Regions from separate parts of the Mus musculus genome. Here all the other regions are reported to be linked to region 1. Evidence: microRNA targets listed by miRTarBase, many of them from high-throughput screens and not tested one by one. Region 1 holds a microRNA gene; each other region holds the end of a gene's coding sequence.
The links. The annotated mature microRNA mmu-miR-132-3p reads UAACAGUCUACAGCCAUGGUCG and lies in region 1 at 3,240-3,261, shown strand. An mRNA with a match to its seed (bases 2 to 7 or 8) in the 3' UTR can be bound and repressed. Matches are read on the target gene's strand: a 7mer-m8 pairs with bases 2 to 8, a 7mer-A1 pairs with bases 2 to 7 and ends in A, and an 8mer does both.

Region 2: miRTarBase lists Foxo3 as a target of mmu-miR-132-3p. The part of its 3' UTR that is shown has no 7-base or 8-base seed match.
Region 3: the mRNA of Zyg11b is a reported target of mmu-miR-132-3p. The part of its 3' UTR that is shown has no 7-base or 8-base seed match.
Region 4: miRTarBase lists Rgs7bp as a target of mmu-miR-132-3p. Seed matches in the 3' UTR shown: 7mer-m8 at 2,233-2,239, 7mer-A1 at 2,476-2,482 and 8mer at 2,986-2,993.
Region 5: miRTarBase lists Slc11a2 as a target of mmu-miR-132-3p. The part of its 3' UTR that is shown has no 7-base or 8-base seed match.

Annotation. Positions count from the first base shown.
Region 1 is chr11:75,170,484-75,175,180 of GRCm38, forward strand. Mir132 (microRNA 132) reads left to right here and starts at 3,199; the gene lies at 3,199-3,264. It overlaps Mir212 (microRNA 212), which reads left to right and starts at 2,905; the gene lies at 2,905-2,995.
Region 2 is chr10:42,193,234-42,197,233 of GRCm38, reverse strand. Foxo3 (forkhead box O3) reads left to right here. Exons shown (of 4, transcript NM_001376967.1): 3 at 1-768. The coding sequence ends at 733. Among named protein-coding and RNA genes, the nearest start is that of Gm38485, 80 kb to the left of the region's middle.
Region 3 is chr4:108,232,697-108,236,696 of GRCm38, reverse strand. Zyg11b (zyg-ll family member B, cell cycle regulator) reads left to right here. Exons shown (of 14, transcript NM_001033634.3): 14 at 503-4,000. The coding sequence ends at 693. Among named protein-coding and RNA genes, the nearest start is that of Zyg11a, 17 kb to the right of the region's middle.
Region 4 is chr13:104,948,170-104,952,169 of GRCm38, reverse strand. Rgs7bp (regulator of G-protein signalling 7 binding protein) reads left to right here. Exons shown (of 6, transcript NM_029879.2): 6 at 588-4,000. The coding sequence ends at 679. Among named protein-coding and RNA genes, the nearest start is that of Gm41048, 35 kb to the right of the region's middle.
Region 5 is chr15:100,385,508-100,389,507 of GRCm38, reverse strand. It overlaps Slc11a2 (solute carrier family 11 (proton-coupled divalent metal ion transporters), member 2), which reads left to right. Exons shown (of 17, transcript NM_008732.2): 17 at 347-1,610. The coding sequence ends at 424. Among named protein-coding and RNA genes, the nearest start is that of Higd1c, 23 kb to the right of the region's middle.

The DNA.
Region 1 (4,697 bases):
CTTGGAGAGCTTAGCAACCGCGCGGGGCGCAGGGCGGGTGGGGGCTACGCTCGCCGCACCCCACGCTGTCTTCGAGCCCCCACTCCCCCGCTTGAGGTAGTGGCTGAGTCACTCGCCCGGGGCAGCCGGCCGGGCCTCTAGCTGTACCAGTGAGACACCAAGGTCTTGGGCGCCTCCTAGAGGCTGCGTTTCTTTGGCAGGAGACTTCTATGCCTGGCCTAGGCTTCTGGTCCAAAGAGTCTTCAAGGCTCACCAGGTTTCCGCGACAGTGTGCTCCGCCTCCATCTAATCCACTTACTACTTCGTATCTCCGTACAGTGTCCATACAAGACAAACACTGCAGTCCCACGGTGGACTCCACAATTTCTGAGCTCTAGGAGAAGTGAAGAGGTACCTTGGTATCTCTGTCGAGGGATACGCCTTGGGGCTGAAGCGGAAGTGTAACGGAGCGTTTGAGGATAAGAAGGCTCCCCAGAAGTGCTCTTAGGGATGAGTTTTGACAACTCTGAGTTCTCCCACAAGCAAGGGTGTCTCTGATGTCTCTGTTTTAAATGTTTTCTCCTTTTAATGGGGTTAGATCGTGCGAGTCTGGAGAGAAAGCTCTGTATGTGTTTTACACAATGGAGTTTATCCGCTGGTTGACCCATAAGGAGGTCGGCTGGGTCTTCAGTTCCTTCTTGTTCTATCCCTCTCCACCGACTCAAGCCCTTGTTGTATCGCTATGGGGCCAACCACATAAACCTTGCCCAAGTTTCACTGTGTACTCCCCTCCCCTCCCCTCCCCTTCTCTCCTCTCCTCTCCTCCACGCCCCACCACCACCACCACCACAGTTTCAAGTCTACGGCTAGCCTCGAACTCACAAAGGCGTCTACTTCCCACGTACAAGGATGCGCACCACCATGCCCCTCCTCTTAACTTTGCTTTCCCCTTCTTCCTGAGCTCCTCTGGTCATCCTGGTGCAGCTTCCTCCTCTCCGTGAACGCATGACGACCCCATTTAGAGCCCGGAGACAGAATCGGGCTGTTTTGGAGGACCTGTTCCATATCGTATTTGCCTTTAGTCTATTCTGACTCCTTTAGAAAGGAGTCCCAGCTACACACACCCTCTGCCAAGCTATTGAGCCCCCTTAGTCTCATTTTCTCTCTTACAGGCTCTGCCTATGCCTATTCCACCCCACTGAGGTGGCCCCCTCGTGCCCCCTGGGGCACTGCCAAGTTGGCTCTCCAGTACTTGTCAGGCTAGCCCTTCCTTTTGTGGATACTCCGTACAGGGATTTTCCAAACTCTTACAGAAGATCTTCTGCTCATTTCTAAAGTCCAGACCACTCTCCTTAGACTCCCTGATCTTCTCTGCGGTTTCCACCATCTGACCGGTACCTTTCCTCCTGTGACCCAGTCAAGAAGCCTTCCAAAACTCCCAGGCTTCTCCACCCCTCTTTCCCCAGCTCCTAGATGTCAAAGTCCGAGGTGCACTCTACTCCCCTCCTAAACCGGTCCAGTTTCTTGCCTCACCCCCCACCCCCCCCCCACACACACACCAGGAGAGAGCGAGGATACCACGGTGGCCAAATGGGAGTGATACCATCGCGGGGCATCTTCTGGCGTCAGAGGACTGTAGGGTCTAGGGAATGAGCAGTGTGGTTTGGGGCTGCCAAGGGAGGACCCCTGCGGTCCAGGAGAAAAGAACTGAGATCCTAGGACTCGCAAAGCCCCGGAAGGGGAGAGTGAATAAACACAGAACGGGGCCTCACCCTCCCTGCACTATTCTCCCCCAGCCCGTCGCCTGCAGTTCCGGAAAGTTAACCCCTTGGAGGCCAAGCCTGGGGTTACGTACTCCCCTACCCAACCCTGCTTCCGCGTGCGCACCCTCCTCCCGCTCCAACTCCCTGTCGCTTCGTCCCGCCCTCCCCTACGCCCCCCCTCCCCGCTTGCCACTATAAATAGCCTCTTTTCCCGTTTCCTAAATTCTCTGCTGACGTCGGCAGCGCGTCAGTGTGTAGGAGCCGCGGCCGCATGAATGAGCCGCCGCACGAGTACTACGCGCGCCTATAAAAGCGGCGGCGCCGGCCGGGCTGCGGGAGGCAAGCCGGCACTGGTGCGACGCGGCCCGACAGGTAAGGACCACCAACAGTCGGAGATGGGCAGATGCGCGGACGCCATGGGAAGGCGAGGAGGGGACCGGAGGGGCGGCGGGTTGGAGGGGGACTCCGGAGTGAGGATGGGGGGCAGAGTGGGAGGGACGAAGGTTCCTTTCAGCTTGGTGGACCAGGGGCCGGCGGCTGACCCAACCCTATGCAGCACCTGCCGGCACCCAAATGCAGACGCAGACACTATGGAGAAACATCAAGCGGAGAGCCGAGCCCCCGACCCCATTTCCCGAGGCTGAGCAGCTCCTGCGCCATCCTTTCAAGAAAGTGGGGAGAAGGTGCTGGCGTCTCAGGAGACGCGCCCCCTCATTTCTCCCCTGTCCGCAGAGCGGTGACTCAGCCTAGATGGCCCCGACTGACTGAGCCAGGGCGCCCACGACAGACAGACGCACACCTCGGCCCTGCGGCTTTCTTGGGACCCCCGTCCTGCATGCTCCACACACGCCCCTTCCCTGTCCCGTCCCTTCCCGTCCGGTCCCGTCCCGTCCCATCGGACTGTCCCACTGAGCTCAGGACTTCCCGCCTCTGCAAGCGGAGCTGTCCTCTCAGGACCAGGCGGGGGCGGGGCTTCGATCAGGCCGCCCCGCCCTACCCCCACCGCTCCCCACCGCCGGAAATGCCTCCCCGCTGGGACATCTTTGACGTCACAGGACTCTGACGTCACGGTCGCGTGTCTGTCCGCGCGCGCTTGGGAGGAGGTGGGGGGGCCTGAGAAGCAGCAGCACTCTCAACTGCGGGCGACGGGATATCCCCGCCCGGGCAGCGCGCCGGCACCTTGGCTCTAGACTGCTTACTGCCCGGGCCGCCTTCAGTAACAGTCTCCAGTCACGGCCACCGACGCCTGGCCCCGCCCCAGGACCGCCGACCCCCGGCCCCTCCACGCCTCCCTGCGCCGCTGTCCGCGGTGCTGATGCAGTGCAAGCGCCTCCCTCGGGCACGCCTGTTCAAGGTCCCTGTGGGTTGCGGTGGGCGCAGGCCCCGCAGACACTCGCGCCACCCCCGCCGCCCGCGGTGCTGACGTCAGCCTGCAAGCCCCGCCCCCGCGTCTCCAGGGCAACCGTGGCTTTCGATTGTTACTGTGGGAACCGGAGGTAACAGTCTACAGCCATGGTCGCCCCGCAGCACGCCCACGCTCCCCACCACTCCCGAGTTCTGCCAGCCTGGGTTTGGGCAGATACAGAGCAAGAGGAGGCGGGGCGGCGACGCAACATTCGATGTGTCTGCGGAGGTGGCAAGAGGTGTGCTCAGAAAGGCGGCCTTTCAGGCTGCTGTGCATCTACCTCGGTGCAGAAGCAAGATCCGCGGAGTGTCTGAACATCCTCCTCAGAGACTCTCCTGTCTTCCTAGTCGAGGTATCGCTGCCTAAGGTGGCGAGAAAATGGGTGGTTCTGCGATAAGGATTCTTATCTCATGAGTGGTGAACCGATGGGATCAGGAGTCCTGTGAGAAGGAAGAAGTCACTTTTGCCAGCAGAAAGCTGAAGGGGGAGGAGAAGGAAGTTTTATCACACCTTTCTTCCAGAAAACCCTAGGTGAGCAGGTAGAGGGGAAAGGGCAAAGAATCCCTTTCCTGATAGAGCCATAACTCTGTCCCCCAACTTTCTCCTGGGCCATCATTAAAAGGGTCCTTAACACAGCAAGAAGCTGGCAGGCTAGTGAAATTCACCTGGCCCCTAATTCATTGTCTGAAGGTATCAGCCAGCAGTCTTCCCTCAACTGGTCTGTAAGTAATGCATCCCAACTTGAGATCTTCAAACGTGCCCCCAAAAGGAGTACAACCACAGAGACTGCACGTAAATACTCTCTGTGGCTAGGGCTGTTGAGAGACTCTGTCTGATAGGGTAGAAATCCTGAGTGTAATCAAGATGCAGAAAACAAATAGCAGGGATAATTTGAAAAGAGGACAGCCGGACAGTGGTGGCGCACGCCTTTATTCCCAGCACTCGGGAGGCAGAGACAGGCAGATTTCTGAGTTCGAGGCCAGCCTGGTCTACAAAGTGAGTTCCAGGACAGCCAGGGCTATACAGAGAAGCCCTGTCGTCTCGAAAAAAACCAAAAAAAAAAAAAAAAAAAAAAAAAAAAAAAAAAAGAAAAAAGAAAAAAAGAAAAGAGGACCTTTTGCAGATGGAACCCATCAGAAGATGTGGTTAGAAGGTTGACTATATAATGCTTTGAGTGTTCGTTGTCCTAGAAAACATTTAGTGTAAACCATGCCTTCTTTCCCAACTTTACACATTAGAAAGCAGAAGCCCAGGTTGGGCATTTAGCCTATAGAGAGCGGTAGTTTTTGCTTGCTTTTTACTGGACAGCAGAAAGACCAACCAAAACCAGGAGCTGCAGTGTATACCTGCAGTCCCAGTTGCTCAGGAGCCTAGACAATAAATATGAGATAAATATGAGATTCGTGTCTCAAAGGGGGGGGGGATGATGACAACAGACAAGAATATGGGGCTTTTGAGTCTGAATCATCCAATTTTGAGTAAGGTACTTAGCCTTTCTGTGCCTGTTTCCTCAATTGTAAGACTCAGTTATTAGGTTAATGACAGTACTT
Region 2 (4,000 bases), not on the chromosome of region 1:
CAACAGTACCGTGTTTGGACCTTCGTCTCTGAACTCCTTGCGTCAGTCACCCATGCAGACTATCCAGGAGAACAGACCAGCCACCTTCTCTTCCGTGTCACACTACGGCAACCAGACACTCCAAGACCTGCTTGCTTCAGACTCACTCAGCCACAGCGACGTCATGATGACCCAGTCGGACCCCTTGATGTCTCAGGCTAGCACCGCCGTGTCCGCCCAGAATGCCCGCCGGAACGTGATGCTTCGCAACGATCCAATGATGTCCTTTGCTGCCCAGCCTACCCAGGGGAGTTTGGTCAATCAGAACTTGCTCCACCACCAGCACCAAACCCAGGGCGCTCTTGGTGGCAGCCGTGCCTTGTCAAATTCTGTCAGCAACATGGGCTTGAGTGACTCCAGCAGCCTTGGCTCAGCCAAACACCAGCAGCAGTCTCCCGCCAGCCAGTCTATGCAAACCCTCTCGGACTCTCTCTCAGGCTCCTCACTGTATTCAGCTAGTGCAAACCTTCCCGTCATGGGCCACGATAAGTTCCCCAGTGACTTGGACCTGGACATGTTCAATGGGAGCTTGGAATGTGACATGGAGTCCATCATCCGTAGTGAACTCATGGATGCTGACGGGTTGGATTTTAACTTTGACTCCCTCATCTCCACACAGAACGTTGTTGGTTTGAATGTGGGGAACTTCACTGGTGCTAAGCAGGCCTCATCTCAAAGCTGGGTACCAGGCTGAAGGATCACTGAGGAAAGGGGAAATGGGCAAAGCAGGTTAGTGCGCCACAATGCAATGGGAAAGCATCGCCGGTGGGCGGGGCGGGGGGGGGGCGGGGGAATGGGGGGGGTGACTCCTATCCTGACAGCGCATGCAGCAGTCAGGACTCCCAGCCGGTTCATCAGAGTTTTACCTGTAAACAAGACAGGGCTCACAGCTGTCAGTAATAAAAAGAACACCCAAATATTCAAAAAGCTCACTCTTTATGTCCTCTGTTGTCACTATGAGGCAGGTTCTCCTACCCTCTGTGTGTGGGTGGATAAGAGAAGGAAAGGGGAGGAAGGTCAAAGGTCACAGGGAAACACACCAGCCCGAGGAGTTTCTTAAAAAGGCTCACATCTAGCGCTGGTTTAATCTCTTGTGTGATGGTTCTTCACCCCCTAGGAAAGTAGTGTTTTGCGCTAGGAAAGTGTTAATGGCATGTTCTTAGATCACTACCTCGTTGATAGCAGAGACCCTTTGCAGAAAGGACACGAGAGATTGTGGGAAGAGTTTAGAACCAGCTGGTGCTGTGATGTCAAAAGCAATGGACTTGGGCAGTTGGGACACACCTATAGTCCCAGCACTTGCAGGTGGCGAGGCTACATAGTGAGGCCCTGAAGGTCCAGTCAGCTCCTGAGTGTCTGTCTGTCTGTCTGTCTCTCTTTCTCTCTCTCTGTTTATACAGTGGGATTAGTGGTCCTACCAGTCCATAGAGCTACTGTAAGAGTCAGATGCACAGAAGAGTGTGAAAGAGTTTTGTAAAACTTCACCAGGTCGGACGTACCAAGGGCAGTTGAGTGAGTGTACTGACTGACAGATGAGCAAGCCGGGAACCACAGAGGTTAAATACTTTGCCCAGGTCACACAGTTTGTCCCAGAGACTACACGTCTTAAGTGGCTTGATTCCTATTTTCTGTAAATGGTTTTTTAAAAGGCACTGTGGACTGAGCCAGCCTGAACTCTTCTCCTGCCTTGGGGAGGGGAGGCTGGCTGTTTATGCCAGCTGGTTTGTCTCAGTGTGGCTTCACATACCCGGGGTTGAAAGGCTCTGCACCCTCAGCTCCCATTTTCTTCTGTTTTTAATTTCAATCTCAGCAAGCTGCTTACCTCCTCCTTCAAGCTGCACAAAAGAGAAAAGGAACCCAGAGCCCTAAGCCCCACCCAGCCTTGTTAGCCCTCCTCCCTGGTGCAGGCATCATAAGGGTCTGCTAGAGCAAGCGAGCGCCTGAGCTCACTGAAGCCCTCCTGGTAGCTGTCCAGGGGAGTGTCAGAGCATCCCTGGGCTAAGCATCTCAATGTTCCCAGGCCCAAGAGGGCTCCTGGTGGACGCCCAGACCTCGCTGTAGTCCTTAGTAGCTTGGAGCCAGGAGAAGACCATAGTGAAAGCTGAGTAGCATGACCTTGCCAGCCGGTTACTCCCGGACCTGTTGGGTCATGGCGATTGACTTTAGAGATGTAGGTACATTCTGAGGTTTATCTCCAGTGAGGAAGACTGTGGTTGTGGTTTCTGACATGAGAATGTTGAATTTGTCATTGTAAGTAGAGACCACTTCCCTGTTCACCAAACCTGCGAAAATGTCCTATCAGCTTTTGTCTGTTTCAGTTGGATGTTCCTGGTTAAACAGCATGCTGTGTGTGTGTGTGTGTGTGTGTGTGTGTGTGTGTGTTGGTGTTGTGTTTATCAAAGTTATATGGAAATCTATTAAGGGAGATTTAAATATATAATAGCCTTCAATTTTATTAGTGCTAAACTTAGCACTAATAAACTTAGCTTGTTTCCACTTTATTAAAGGCAGACTCTCAGCCTCACCTTCCCTGACGAGTGTCCCCAGCCCCAGAGCCCCATCCTTCTGGTTTGCCGCTGCCTTGGTATTTCTCCAGACTGGTTTGCAGTGTGCTGACCCAAGGTCATGTGGCCCCATTGAGGCTAAAAGGAGCAGCCCTGGCCAGGTGACATTTTACTGAAGAACCTCTGTGACAGGCTCTGGAGATCTGGGAGTCTGATGTGTAGCTGTGTGTTGGTAGCGTCACGTCCTGGGTGGGTAGCGCCCCATCCTTCACCCATGCTTGTGGACTTTTCCATGTACAGGAGCGGGAGACGGGACTTGGTGGCTGTAGTCTGGGCTTTCAGTGAGCCCTCTTAAGCTTGACAAGACCCATGCCGGATGACTTAGCATGCCTTAGCATGCTGGAATTTCTTGGTCATCCCTGCCTACAATCTCACTGTTACACATTTTCCACTTGTTTTTACTATGAGCATAAAAATAAGGTCCTGCTACTTCAGGAGCTCCAAAGGTCAAAGGTCAGGCTGAACTCAGATGCCAGCTTCTTGTTAACTATCCAGCAAGACCTCTCCTTTAGTTCGTGCCTGTCTTCAAGGGCCAGTTTCTCAGATGAGCACCCACCTCAGCACATTGTCTCTGGGCTCTACTCTGAGGGGACCTGCAGGTGAAAACACCTCTGCAGCTCACCCAGAGTTGCACAGGGTCCCTGTGGCGGAAAAACTGAGCTTCGCAGATGGGTCTGTGGGATGGTGTCCTGCTATTTGTCTCTGAGTCTCTCCAGGCTTACTTACACAGAGGGACAAACGTTTACACCTCCCCTGCAGAGCCCCCCTTTTGTAAGAACGTGTGGGGCACGATGTTTTCTCCCATGATCCCGTAATCTCATGGCAGACCACAGTCAGCCTTACACTGTTTGCAGAAGGCAGCTGCTTTCCTTGACAACCAACTCTAGTTTAGGTTTCTTTTCATGCCTTCTGGGGCTTTGCACTCAAAGTCCTGCTTGCCATTTGGGGAGTACACATTAGAGAGGCTGTCAAAGAGAGATTCTGCCGCATGGGCTGGTAAGGTTTGGAGCCTTACCAAAGTGTTCCTTTAGCATCTCTGAAGCTGGGCAGTGGTGGCACACGCCTTTATTTAATCCCAGCACTTGGGAGGCAGAGGCAGGCGAATTTCTGAGTTCACTACAAAGTGAGTTCCAGGACAGCCAGGACTATAACAGAGAAACTCTGTTTCAAAAAACCAAAAGAAAAAAGAAAGAAAGCATCTCTGAAGGGGGCTGCGGTCGGGCTTCACTGTGGGAGAAGCCTTGCCTCCCATTGTTTCGGAAGCCAGAGCCAACCTGAGCTATTCCACTGTTGTAGGAAAGAAACCTGGCTCTTCCGTCCTGACAGGCACCCACGGTCTGACCTCTAAGGGCTGGTGGTCGCTTGTTTTGCATAACACGAAGACAGGAAATCCAGTC
Region 3 (4,000 bases), not on the chromosome of region 1:
ATGGCTTTGTGGGCACAGTCGATGCCCAGTGGAGTCTTCCTCCACTGCCTTATGCCTTACTCCCACTGAACCAGAAGTTTCCTGTCCAAGGACTTCCTAGACCTTTGTTTCTCTGTCCCATAATGCTGGGTTACAGATACACATGGCCATGCTTTTATATGTGGGTTCTAGGATTCGAATTCAGGATTAACCATCTAAAAATCCAGTTCCAGGGGATTTGATACCCTTTTCTGGGCTCTGGTATGCAAGGGGTACACAGACATACATATATAAAACACCTTTTTAAAAAGATTCCTGAATTCAAGGGAATAAAGTGGAGATGATGAGAGACACCTGGTTCAAGGGTTGTTTGTTTTGTTTTGTGGAGGCAGGGTCTTACTGTGTGGATTTGCTTCATGCACTACCATGCATGGCCTTTGATGTGTTTTTGCAGTTTTGTTTTAAGCTCTGAAGACTTGTTTTGTTTGTGGAATAACATTAAGACATTTTTCTTTTCTTTTAGCTTCAAGGTATTGCAGCATGCTGATTGAAGAAGGAGGACTGCAGCATTTGTATAACATCAAAGAACACGAGCAGACAGATCCCTATGTCCAGCAGATTGCTGTGGCCATTCTGGACAGTTTAGAGAAACACATTGTGCGCCATGGAAGGCCCCCTCCCTGTAAAAAGCAGCCCCAGGCCCGGCTGAATTGATAGCCATAGATAGTTGTGTAACGAACAGACAACGGGAAGCATTTTTGTGGTTGGTTCCTTTGGATTAGCGTGCTCTCTGGTGTTTGGGGCGGGGTGGGGGGTGTCTGTGGTAAGAGTCCTGTGATCCATTTGGAATTGGTAATGTACAGTACTGCCCATGTGAACAGTCTGATTTGTTTTGTGATTTTTAACTTATGAGGCAAGAAAGGTCTTCCTTCAATATTGTCTCTTAGGGAATCTCTCTCTCAGTGTTTGAACTTAACTTGTGCTTGAAATTCTACAGTTTCACGGTAAGCTGCACGCACTCTTCCGCAGGCTTCCTTGCAGGTGAGCAAGGCTGCTGACTTGACTTCAGCTCCACCTCGATGTAATTTTATATTGCTCTGTAAAAATGCACCCATTCTCTGTTGCCTTCCCATGATGCCCTTCTTTGTGTGATGAAAGCTGTTGTGTTTCTAGAAGCTTCTTGCTGTCAGGAGCCTGAGTAGCAATCAAAGGAACATAAAAGAAAGACCGTGAAAGGACCGAGTTGAAGGGAATTAGAAATTGCTTTTGTGGTAGAGCTCTGAAAATGGAAAAGGCTCTCCTGGTGTCCCTCTGCTACTTACTCAGTGGAATAGAGTTAAGTTGCTTAGTTAAAATACAATTGACAGAAAATTTGTTGCAAAAATTTAAACTTGAGTTGGGGTGTGGCTCAGTGGTAGAGTATGTTCTTGGAATGTAGGAATTGAATACCCAGCACCACACACAACAAAAAGTTGAATGTTTCTTCTGTTCAAATATGTGTATCTGTCAGGCATAAATGGCTCATGCCTGCAATCTCAACACTCAGGAAACTGAGCAGGAGTAGTGCTGTGAGTTTGAGGCCAGCCTGGGTTAGAGTGACATGTAGTGGATCCTCATTATGTGTTCATGTTAGAAAAAGCTCAAGAGAAGAGTGGGCTACTGCTGCGGCTGCGGCTGGATGGCTACCTGTGGAGTCGGCTGAATAAAAGGAAATGGTTTTGATCGGTTAGTTTTTAGGCAGTTGCCTTTCCTATAAGATAATTGATATATGAAGAATCAGTTATCATCCTATGAACCCGGGAGGCAGCAAGTTAGCAACAAACTTAAATTCCACTATAATTTTAAGTTGGGAATAATTCAGATTTATAATCCAGTAATAGCAAGGATGAGACAGAAGGAACTACAGTTGGAGACCACAGAGTTGCAAGCCAGCCTGGGCTACATGGGAAAGACCCTTTCTCACGAAACAAAACAAATATTTTAAGGGGGTCTTGGTGGCACTTGCCCTTAATTCAAAACACTAAGGAACAGGTGGCTTTCAGGGCCAGCATGGACTAGACAGCAAGAGCCCATCTCAAAACAAACCAGGATGCTCACATCTTGTTTTGTAAATAGGTTTAATCTGAAATCTCTTCTGACCACATTCATACATGTCTCAAATGTTTTCCGTAGTTTTAAAGTAAGTCAGGAATGTTTCAGTTTAGAAAGGAGCTAGATTAAGCTGTGCATCTGAGTGTGCACCTGTACCCTAGTGCATAGAAGACAAAGGTGAGAGGAATATGAGTTCTGAACCAGCCTGGACTATAAAGAGTGACCAGCAAGCTTATTGCTAGTATGCTTTTACCATGTCTGACTCATGTTTCATACTACTGTCACACTCCTTGGACTTGAATGTTTCAGGCTTCCTTTATAAGGACAAATACTGAATCAAACTGAAAGAAAACAGACACATAGAATTATCAAAAAGCCATATAAAACTATGGTTTATTTCTTACTTCATTGGTTCAAGGAATTTTAAGAGCTATACGATACATTTTTACCCAAGATGGTTGCTCAGATTCACCACTGGAGACAAGATTGCCATTCTGAGACTAGCCTGGGCTACCTAGTGATGCTTGTCTCAGCAGCCTCCATCTCAAAAGATGTCTTTTTCATAGTTAAACACATTTGGAAAAAAGAAAATTCTTTCAAAGGAGTAGTTTTTGCTTTTTGTTGACATTTCCCCCTCAATTTTAACGTCTAAGACAAAGTTCTGATAATATGATGTAGTCTACAATAACTAGCAAGCTTGTGGTGTTGATTTGCCAAGCTTACAAAGTACACTTGTGAAATAGTTGAGAACTTTGGCTCCAAGTGTCATGACCAAAGTACATGTGCTATAGGCTATTGCTAACCTTTTACAAAGTTTCAGAAAAATAAGTCAGGTGTGGTAGAGTTCACCTGTAATCCCAGTATTAGCAGCTGCGTAGCAAATTCAGAACCAACGTTTGGTTACCTGATATCCTATCTGGAGAAGCAGAACCAGACAGAAATGGTCAAAAGGTCTACAGAGTGATTGAGAATAACCTGATACATGAAGGCTCAAAACCAATTCAATTTATATTCTCCAGGCCAGTCAGGGCTAGATTGCCCCAAAACAAACAAACAAACAAAACTTAAAAACAAAAGCCCACAAACTCAAAGTGACAGATTGTATCCCAAGTAAATCAAGCTATTAGTGCCCGTGTTTTATTTTTGTTTTTGAGTCTCACCATGTGTAGACCCAAGGCTGTAGTCTATATTGATCTCATTCAGTTGACATTCCTGAGTGAGTGGTAGGATTCCACACATGTGCTACCATGTCTGGCTAAGGGATAGCTCTTGCTTTGTTTTGTTTGTTTTTGTTTTTCCAGACAGGGTTTTTCTGTGTAGTCCTGGCTGTCCTAGAACTCCCTCTGTAAACTAGGCTGGCCTCAAACTCAGAGCTTCCAGAGTGCTGGGATTAAAGCTAAAATGTAGTAAATACATATGTGTATTTATAAATTACGAATGTCCAGCCAGCTTCTACAGGCCTCCCATTTGTAATTGGTTGGTACTTCCAAAGCCACTGGCCTAGTGGTGTGCTTTCAGGCATAGTTTAGACTGACCTGAATGGCCTTGTTGAACTAACTCATCAGTATGCTCAGACACCAGCCATAGGGTCAGGAGTAGCAAGACTTGGATCTGCTGGAAGAAACACATGCACAAGGACCCAGGTTCAGTTCCTGCCAGAGAGGAAACAGAATTATGAGACTTTGTAAGACTGGAGTCGAATAAAGCAAAATATAGATATCAAAGCATCTGGGTTTTGTGTACTGAATATGTTTTTGCCATGGTCTCTGTACTCTGAAGTTTGTTTTCCTTCTGGGTTGAGAGTGCAACTCAGCTCAGTACTGGAGGGAAGCACACCGATTTCAACTCCTACTATCAGAAAAGGAAAAGATGATATTTAATGTTTTCTTTTTTAAGTTATCAATAAAACCATAAATCAAGAATAGGGGCT
Region 4 (4,000 bases), not on the chromosome of region 1:
TCGGCTGCCATCAGAGTGAGCTGCTTTTAAGTATTTCATTTCATCTTCACTTATGGTAAGCATCATCATTCCCTATTAGTTTTGAATGTTCACTTAGGGGCATCAGAGTTTAGTGAGGTTGAGTGACAGATGAGGGTCACAGAAGGAGGGCTTAGAAGACAAGACAAGTCTCCTGGGAAGTGGATTGTTTCTATGAAGATGTTTGCAACCTCTCCCAACTGAAAGGCTGTCTTGAGCAGTTTCAATTTAATTAGCTAGTGACTGTCAGTCTTGGAGTGTTTTGTCCCAGGCCACATTTGGAAAGATCTGGGAATGCCTCTGGTTGTACCTAGTGAAGGCCAGGGACACTGATGAAGTCCTTCATTGGGGTAGAAGGGGGTACTGGGGGAGGGGGTTTCTTCTAACAACAAACGGTTAATGAAGTCTTCTGATGCTTGAGATAGCCTCCCACAACACAGCATTATCTAGTCCAGTGTAGCTGAGGTTTAAAATGGGACAGACAGGATGATGGCGTTTTAAGCCCACTTCATAACGAGCAGGTTACTTTGTCTGTAACTCACTCCTGTGCACACTGTGTCCCACCACAGATGACAGCAGCCTTCTGAATCTAACGCCCTACCCCATGGTCAGAAGACGGAAGAGAAGGTTCTTCGGCTTATGTTGTCTTGTCTCAAGCTAGGTGGCTTCCCCGGAAACTCACCGCCAAGATCACCTGAGAAACACCACAGAACCGTAAGACCTCCACACCGCGGAACACCGAGACCGGTTTTGACCATGTTTTCTATGCTCCCTTGTTACTTTTATCTGCCTCTCCCTGCCATTTTAAATGATTTCACACTTGAAAGCAGCTGCCATCAAGGAAAAGAGAAAGAAAGAAAGAAAGAAAGAAAGAAAGAAAGAAAGAAAGAAAGAAAGAAAGAAAGAAAGAAAGAAAGGAAGGAAGGAAGGAAGGAAGGAAGGAAGAAAGAAAGAACAGATTCAAAGAGGTGCAGCCTGTTTTTAAAGGGAGTTTTAAAAAGTTGACATTGTGCATGTCTGCTCTGAACCATGCCGTGACAGATGCAAGAAATTTGATTTTTAAATTATTTAAAGGTTTTTTAAAAATGTATTATACAGAAAATTATTTCACATATAATAGTATATCTGTAACTCTTGCTGATATCATGTTAACGATTTATCGGATATAAAAGATGTCTCTAAATATAGAAATCTATTTAAAACAGCAAAACTGTTCAAGAATCCAATCTATGAGTATCATTAGAAATATTATAACCAAACACACGCCACCTCACGCGTTGCTGTCTCTGCACTCATTTCCATTTAGTCTTCCATTCTGTCAGAATCGCTAAGTATCAACATCAGAACATCTTAATTTATAATGCAACAGAGTCATATATGAAAAATACATTTTGTAAATACACAGTAATCCTACTATCTTCAAACAATGCATATGGGTAGCTAACTTTCTTTTAATCCAATGGTGTCTTTTTAAGCTTCTTGGGAAATGAAGTTATCCGGTTAAGAAATGATGTAGTAGCATAAACAATTACCCTCAGATGTAAAATTCAATATTATCACATTTTGTTTGAATTGAAACCTGAAGCATGGGTCCACACATCAGCATAGTGTTAAATCTTATAGGGCATGCTGGAATTAGCTCAGATCATAAAACTATTTAACATTTTACATTATTAATGAAAAAAGATGTTTTAGTTAAGCTTAGCTTGTCTCATTTTAGATGACTATGCAGATATGACTTTTCCAATGTGTATTCTGTGTCCTGTCTTATGCTTGGACTCTCGAGAACGGGACACATTAAGCAATACTGTATTTTAGAAAAGAGGGAGCCACACGCTGTGTTGTTCTGCTCATGGCTCTGCTGCGCTCTTTTCCCACGAACTTGTAATATGCTACAAATCCTGTTTTATTTCCTCCTGTCCTTCCTTTGACCCTTCCCCCCACCCCCAATGAAATTTCCCAGGAGTCTTTGCACTTTTGTTCCCTGTTCTGACAGATCTCCGAGTCAGACCAGAGGCACAGGTGTCCAATCTTAAGAGGGACAGACTAGCTGCCTGCAAGTGGCTTTAATCCCAGCCTTGGGGAGGCACTTATTTGTACATTAATATTCTGGCCTAAAAACTAAATACTTTTAAAGCCTTTCACTTTATGGAAGATGGAGAGAGCATGGACAATTGTTGTATTAGGTTGAATTCTATGAAATGGCTGATATTTGACTGTTTTGATCTATATTTTTAAAACCAGCAATTTCACATAGTTCAACCTAAAATCTGCAAAGAAACAGCTCTTGGAATTTTCTCCTATATTTATGTATCAAAAGTGAAAGAATTCTGGGATGGAAGAGATCTCCAAAGTCTATGATTGGTCTTCATTTCAATTCCACTAGTTGCTGTCGACCATATTCTTGGTACCCCACCCCCACCCCTTACTATGCTGCACTAAGCTGGTAGCTAATGTACTGTTACTAGTAAGACTGGATTCAGTGAGAGAAGGACTTTTGACAAGTTATATGAGACAATTATAACTTTCTGAATGGAATGTTCATGAAACAATGGAAAGAATTATTTAAAGACTCCTCACAAGGAACTATTCCCAACTCTCCTATCCTGCCATCTTGAATAAAGCCTACTCTTCTCTCCTGGTTGCAGGTCATTTCAAGTTAGTTAAGTTCCAAGGTTATCTCATTTCTCATTTATGAGCTATTATTTCTAAATTGGCATGATCTCGGCTCCTGTCTCTGTTGTTTCCCACACTCTGACTGGATTGAACGCTTAGCTTCAGCCTCATTCCTAGCAATCCATGCAAATGGACTAACTGACAAGCCTGGGGTGCGGGGCACGCTCTTGTGGATGCCCGACCTAAACCTCTGACCTAAACCTCTCCTGCTTCTTTCATTTGTCCCAGCTCTCTCCTTAGTCTCAGCGTGACGACAACACCTTCTGTGCAATTGTCCTTTGTACAACTGAAGACTGTTAAAAAAAAAAAAAAATTCAGGTCTCACCTCCATGTCTGAGAAGGCCGTGAGAGCTATTCATGGAGATGGGAATTTGTCTAATTACCTAGCCAGACTTTGCATATCTGAGGTAATAAAGTCGACCACCTTATGTTTTATTCAGTGCCTGGTTTCCAGCCATTGCTCAATTTTATAGTTCCCATAGATAGATATACTCCAAGATCTATGGATGTTCTTTCAGTAGCAGGTCCGAAAGCAGCATTAACAATCAAGGTTCTGGTACCTGTGCGGGCTCATGGTTGCCTTGGGCAACTCACCACCTCCCCTTTTAATTTAACTTGTTTTAGAAGAGTTAAGACCCTGGAGGATATGCCAAGTGCATCCTCTAGGATGCCCCTCTCTCCTCTAACCTGCCAAAGGACTTCCTTAGGTGTGGGTCCACCAGATAAAGTTCTGCTCCCTCCCTCTGCTCCTTGCAGGAAATGGTCTTTGCCCTCAACAGAAGCATCCAGCTGATCTGTAAGGGTCTGAGGAAAACGCTGAATATTCTCTCACAAACCCATGTGTACAAACAGGAAAAAAGGCCTCTCATTTTATCGCCATACTTTTTATATTCTATTTTAGGTTTTCCTGCAAATTATAATGAATATATGGTTTTTTTTTATCTTTTTGTGGGAAATCTGAAAAACATCCCCACGTATAAAGAAAGCAAACATCACCTGAACTTTACAGCAAATGTATTGTTTAAAATCACATTTCCCGGCTCTAAATCAGTTGGGGCTGAGCTCAAAGACTCTTTTGGGAAAGACAACATGAAGTAACCTTCAGGCCAAAGTATCTCTTTAAAGTCTGACCACTGATGTTTGGTGTCTAGACTCAGACTCATTGCAAACTGCCCGGTGTGCCACTCATTAAAGGGGTACAAAGCAAGCTGGAGAAGCAGCAGGGTCCTAATTGGTTTTGGGGGCGGGGGGTGGGGGTGGGGAGTCCCAAACTCCGCCCAACGGGTTGTGTTCCTTCCTACTCTTG
Region 5 (4,000 bases), not on the chromosome of region 1:
TCCAGGCTGCAGCCTTTCTCTAGAGTGCTCTCTCTACCTCAGGGTTGCTTGGCTGCTGTGTGGCTGACCTCCACACGCCCTCTCTAGGTCCAATCCCAGGGGATCCAGTGCCTCCCTCTGACCCCTGTGGGCAGCAGACGTGTGCACACTACATACACTGATGTACCTAAAATAAAAATCTAAAAAGTGTCCATGATCTTAAATAAGAACCTCACATAACACCATTTTCTATTCTGAAATAAAATTCAATTGTACTGAGCAAAGAGGCCAAAATAATGTGTACGTCCACAGTGTAATTCCTTGCTAGTGACACTAACTGTCTCCCTGTGCTTTTGTCCTCCCTCAGTACCGCCTGGGACTGACCGCTCAGCCTGAACTCTATCTTCTGAACACCGTGGATGCTGACTCAGTGGTGTCCAGATGACTAACAGCCCAGGAGACCTTAAGAACACTTTCTCTAAGCCCTTTCGGGCCAAGTGCCTGTTAGCAAATCCCTTAGTTCGGAGGTGAGCTTGTTCAAAGGTTTTTGAACAAAGGAGAAGTTCTCCTCACGGACTCAGGGTAAAAGCTGACAGTTGCGTATGGGTCAGAGACCCTTCGGAGGCAGTGGGCCTGTGGCAGCTGTGCAGTCCCTCAGGCTTGTGTCTGCACTTCTGGGGTTTAAAGTGTATCGATATGTATTTATGTGAACCCAAACGTGCCAGTTTGGGTAAGATTTTAAGGTTATAAAACTTGATAGATTTTTACAAATGCCTTTCAGGTGAGTTAGGTCTTTGTTCTATTTGGGTAACAAATGAGAAAGGGACCTTTCTGACGATGAACTTCCCCAAAATAACTCTTGAAGCGCTGCTTTACCACAGTGTGTGTGTGTGTGTGTGTGTGTGTGTGTGTGCGCGCGCGCGTGCCTGCCTGCTTCTGCTTGTGGGGGCCACGGGTTGGCATCAGGTGTCTCCAGTCTCTACCACAGTGTGTGTGTGTGTGTGTGTGTGTGTGTGTGTGTGTGTGTGTGTGTGTGTGCGTGCGCGAGTGCCTGCCTGCTTCTGCTTGTGGGGGCCACGGGTTGGCATCAGGTGTCTCCAGTCTCTCTCTGAACATGGAGTTCAGTGTGTGACTGAGCTAGCCAGCCAGTAAGTTCAAGGATCCTCCTGGCCTCGCGCCCCAACACTGTGGTCCCAGATCAGCTGCTACGCCCAGATTTTACACAGTGCTGGGGACCCAAACTCAGGTCTTCCTGGACAGCAGGTACTTTACCAACTTTCCCCCTTTGTCTCTACATCAAGTGTGTCTGTGGCTGTTGTTCCGTTGGTGTCTGTCCACCTGCCCTTTCTTCCCACTCTACGCGCTGACACTCCACACACTGTCCTCACCCTGTCTCTAAGGGCCGCCCGTATGTGTACCGCTGAGTGTCCTGAGGAATTTAAGCATTTTAAGGTGTGTGTTAGCAGAGGTCTGAGGCTCGCACTCGATGGGAACACAGACCATCAGTTTCACTTTAAGCACCGACACTCCAAACGCGCGTGTGCAGGTAGTGAAGCTTTTTGGTTTTTGCTTTAATCCCAACCAGAAATAATCATCCTTGTTATAATAAAGTTCATGCTTAATAGCTAAAAGCTTTTGTCTAGGGGTGCGACTCATTTGTAGAGCTCTTTGCTTGCCCACCACACACACACACACACACACACACACACACAGGCACTCCTGAACACACAAACGCACACACTCATACTCTAACTGTCTTCTTAGGGAATCAGTTAATCAGTTACAGCACTTGACCTGCGTTCCTACCTGGCAGTACAGTAGACAATACAGCAGGCTAGAACTGAATCATAGCTGCCCACTGTCATTGCCATGTGTGCCCCAGGGGCACACGGCTTATCGGGCACAGGGCCTTCATATTCTTCTTTACTTTTTTGCTCTCTAGGCTCTGAGTCTGTAAACCCCATAGGCTATGTGTGACTTTAAATGTCACATTCATCTTTCAGCATTAAATGTAGAAACAGAGAGATCAGACATTACTCTTTTTGTTTTGTTTGGTTTGGTTTTCTAGGACAGGGTTTCTCTGTGTAGCCCTGGCCGTCCTGGAACTCACTCTGTAGACCAGACCAACCTTAGACTCAGATCCACCTGCCTCTGCCTTGAGTGCTGGATTTAAGGGTGGGAGCCACCACCTCCCAGCTTGCGAGGGCATTTGCTAAATTCACCCTTTACAGCTTCTTCACGTCCACCTTGGGGCCTTTAAAAATTTTTTTTTAATTTTATTTTTTAAAGATTTTATTTAATTTATATGAGTATATTCAGACACGCCAGAAGAGGGCATCAGCTCTCATTACAGATGGTTGTAATGTGGTTGCTGGGAATTGAATCAGGACCTTTGGAAGAACAGTCGGTGCTCTGGACTGCTGAGCCATCTCTCCAGCCCAGGGCTTACCTAGAACTTGTTATGTAGACCAGGCTAGCCTCAGACTTAGAGATCCTCCTGCCTAGCCCCCAAGAGCTGGGGTTGAAAGTGTGCTCAGTTCTGCTTGGCCACAAGGCCACTGAAGACTTAGAACAGCCTTGTAGCCTAGGTCACAGTTCTGACCTTAACAGACAGAAGCAGCAGCAGCTGGGCTGAGCTTCGGTTACCGAAGTCCCTGTGTTTCGGTTTGGTGAAGACCCGTCACAGTCCCAGATGAACCCATTTCTTGTACACCCACCCGACCCTCCACTTCTGTTTCTCAGTACTTCTTTCCCTGGGAGATTATGTGGGAGAAGAAAGACTGAAGACAGAAGCATCCTGTTTTGCGATTCATACAAAGGTGAGGCAGATGAGAGAGGTCAAGAACTCTCAAGGCTTTCTGTAGCTCCTCTCTGCGCTTCCTCTGGGTGCAGGTAGGAACAGAGATAAGATGCCACACATTCACAGGTATCATCTCCCCGAGGCCTCACAGCTTCTTGTCAGCAGAAAGTATAATACATACCAAATCCATTGAAAGATTGACGTCTAAAGAGTGAGCCTTGGTTAAGCTTTATGCCATTAAGAACAAGTATGAACTTTGGCTAGCATTCATGAAACCCTTGATTCAACCCAACACTGAAGAAAAAAAAGGGGGTGGTGGTGGTAATGAGGCCTGTGGTGCGCGCCAGCGTTCCAACACTGGAGAGAGAGCTAAGAGGATCAGAAAGACCAGGCTCACCCTTGGCTTTGTGTCCAGTTAAAAATCCTGCGATTTGATGCTTCTTCTGAACTCTTCAGGCACCAGACATGCATGTGGTACACAAACATACATGCAGACAGAACATACACATTAAAAAAAAAAGCAAAAAAGAAGTCAAAAAATGTTAATGGTGCTGGCAAGATAGCTCAGGAGGTAATTAAATTCACCTGCCACCAGGCCTAATGACCTGAGTTCCATCCCAGAGAACCCCAGGGTGGAGAAAAGCAACTCACAAAATGTCTGATCTCTACGCATGCTGCGGCTCCTGTACACCCGTACATACATGCACAAGTCGTTAAAAGTATAACTTTAACAAAACATTCAGCTTGGGCATGGCGATCTTTGTTATTCAGACGATTGGAGGCTGAGCCAGGAGGATCTCAAAATCAAGGCCAGTTTGGGCCACATGCCAAGATCTTGGTCTTAGGGCACAAGGGACTAGAGAGGTTACTCAGTGGGTAAGAGCACTGGCCACTCCCAGCACCCTCGGGGCAACTCACATCAGTGACTCCAGACCCAGGGAATCCAGTGCCCTCTGGTAGCTTCTTGCATGAGCGCACGCAAAATACCCAAAACAATGAACCAGTAACAATCATAATTTTCTACTATATGGTAACAAGTCTGGGCTTCTGTATATAGTGGCATTATAGAGCAGTATTAATCTGTTTCTTAAAATACCCAAGAACAGGGTACTTTATCAGAAAAGAAGTGTATTTAGCTCACAGTATAGTTCAAAGACATGGGGCTAGCTAGCACTTCTACTGAGGGACTCTTGCCCCATGGTGGATGGTACCAAGTGAGGC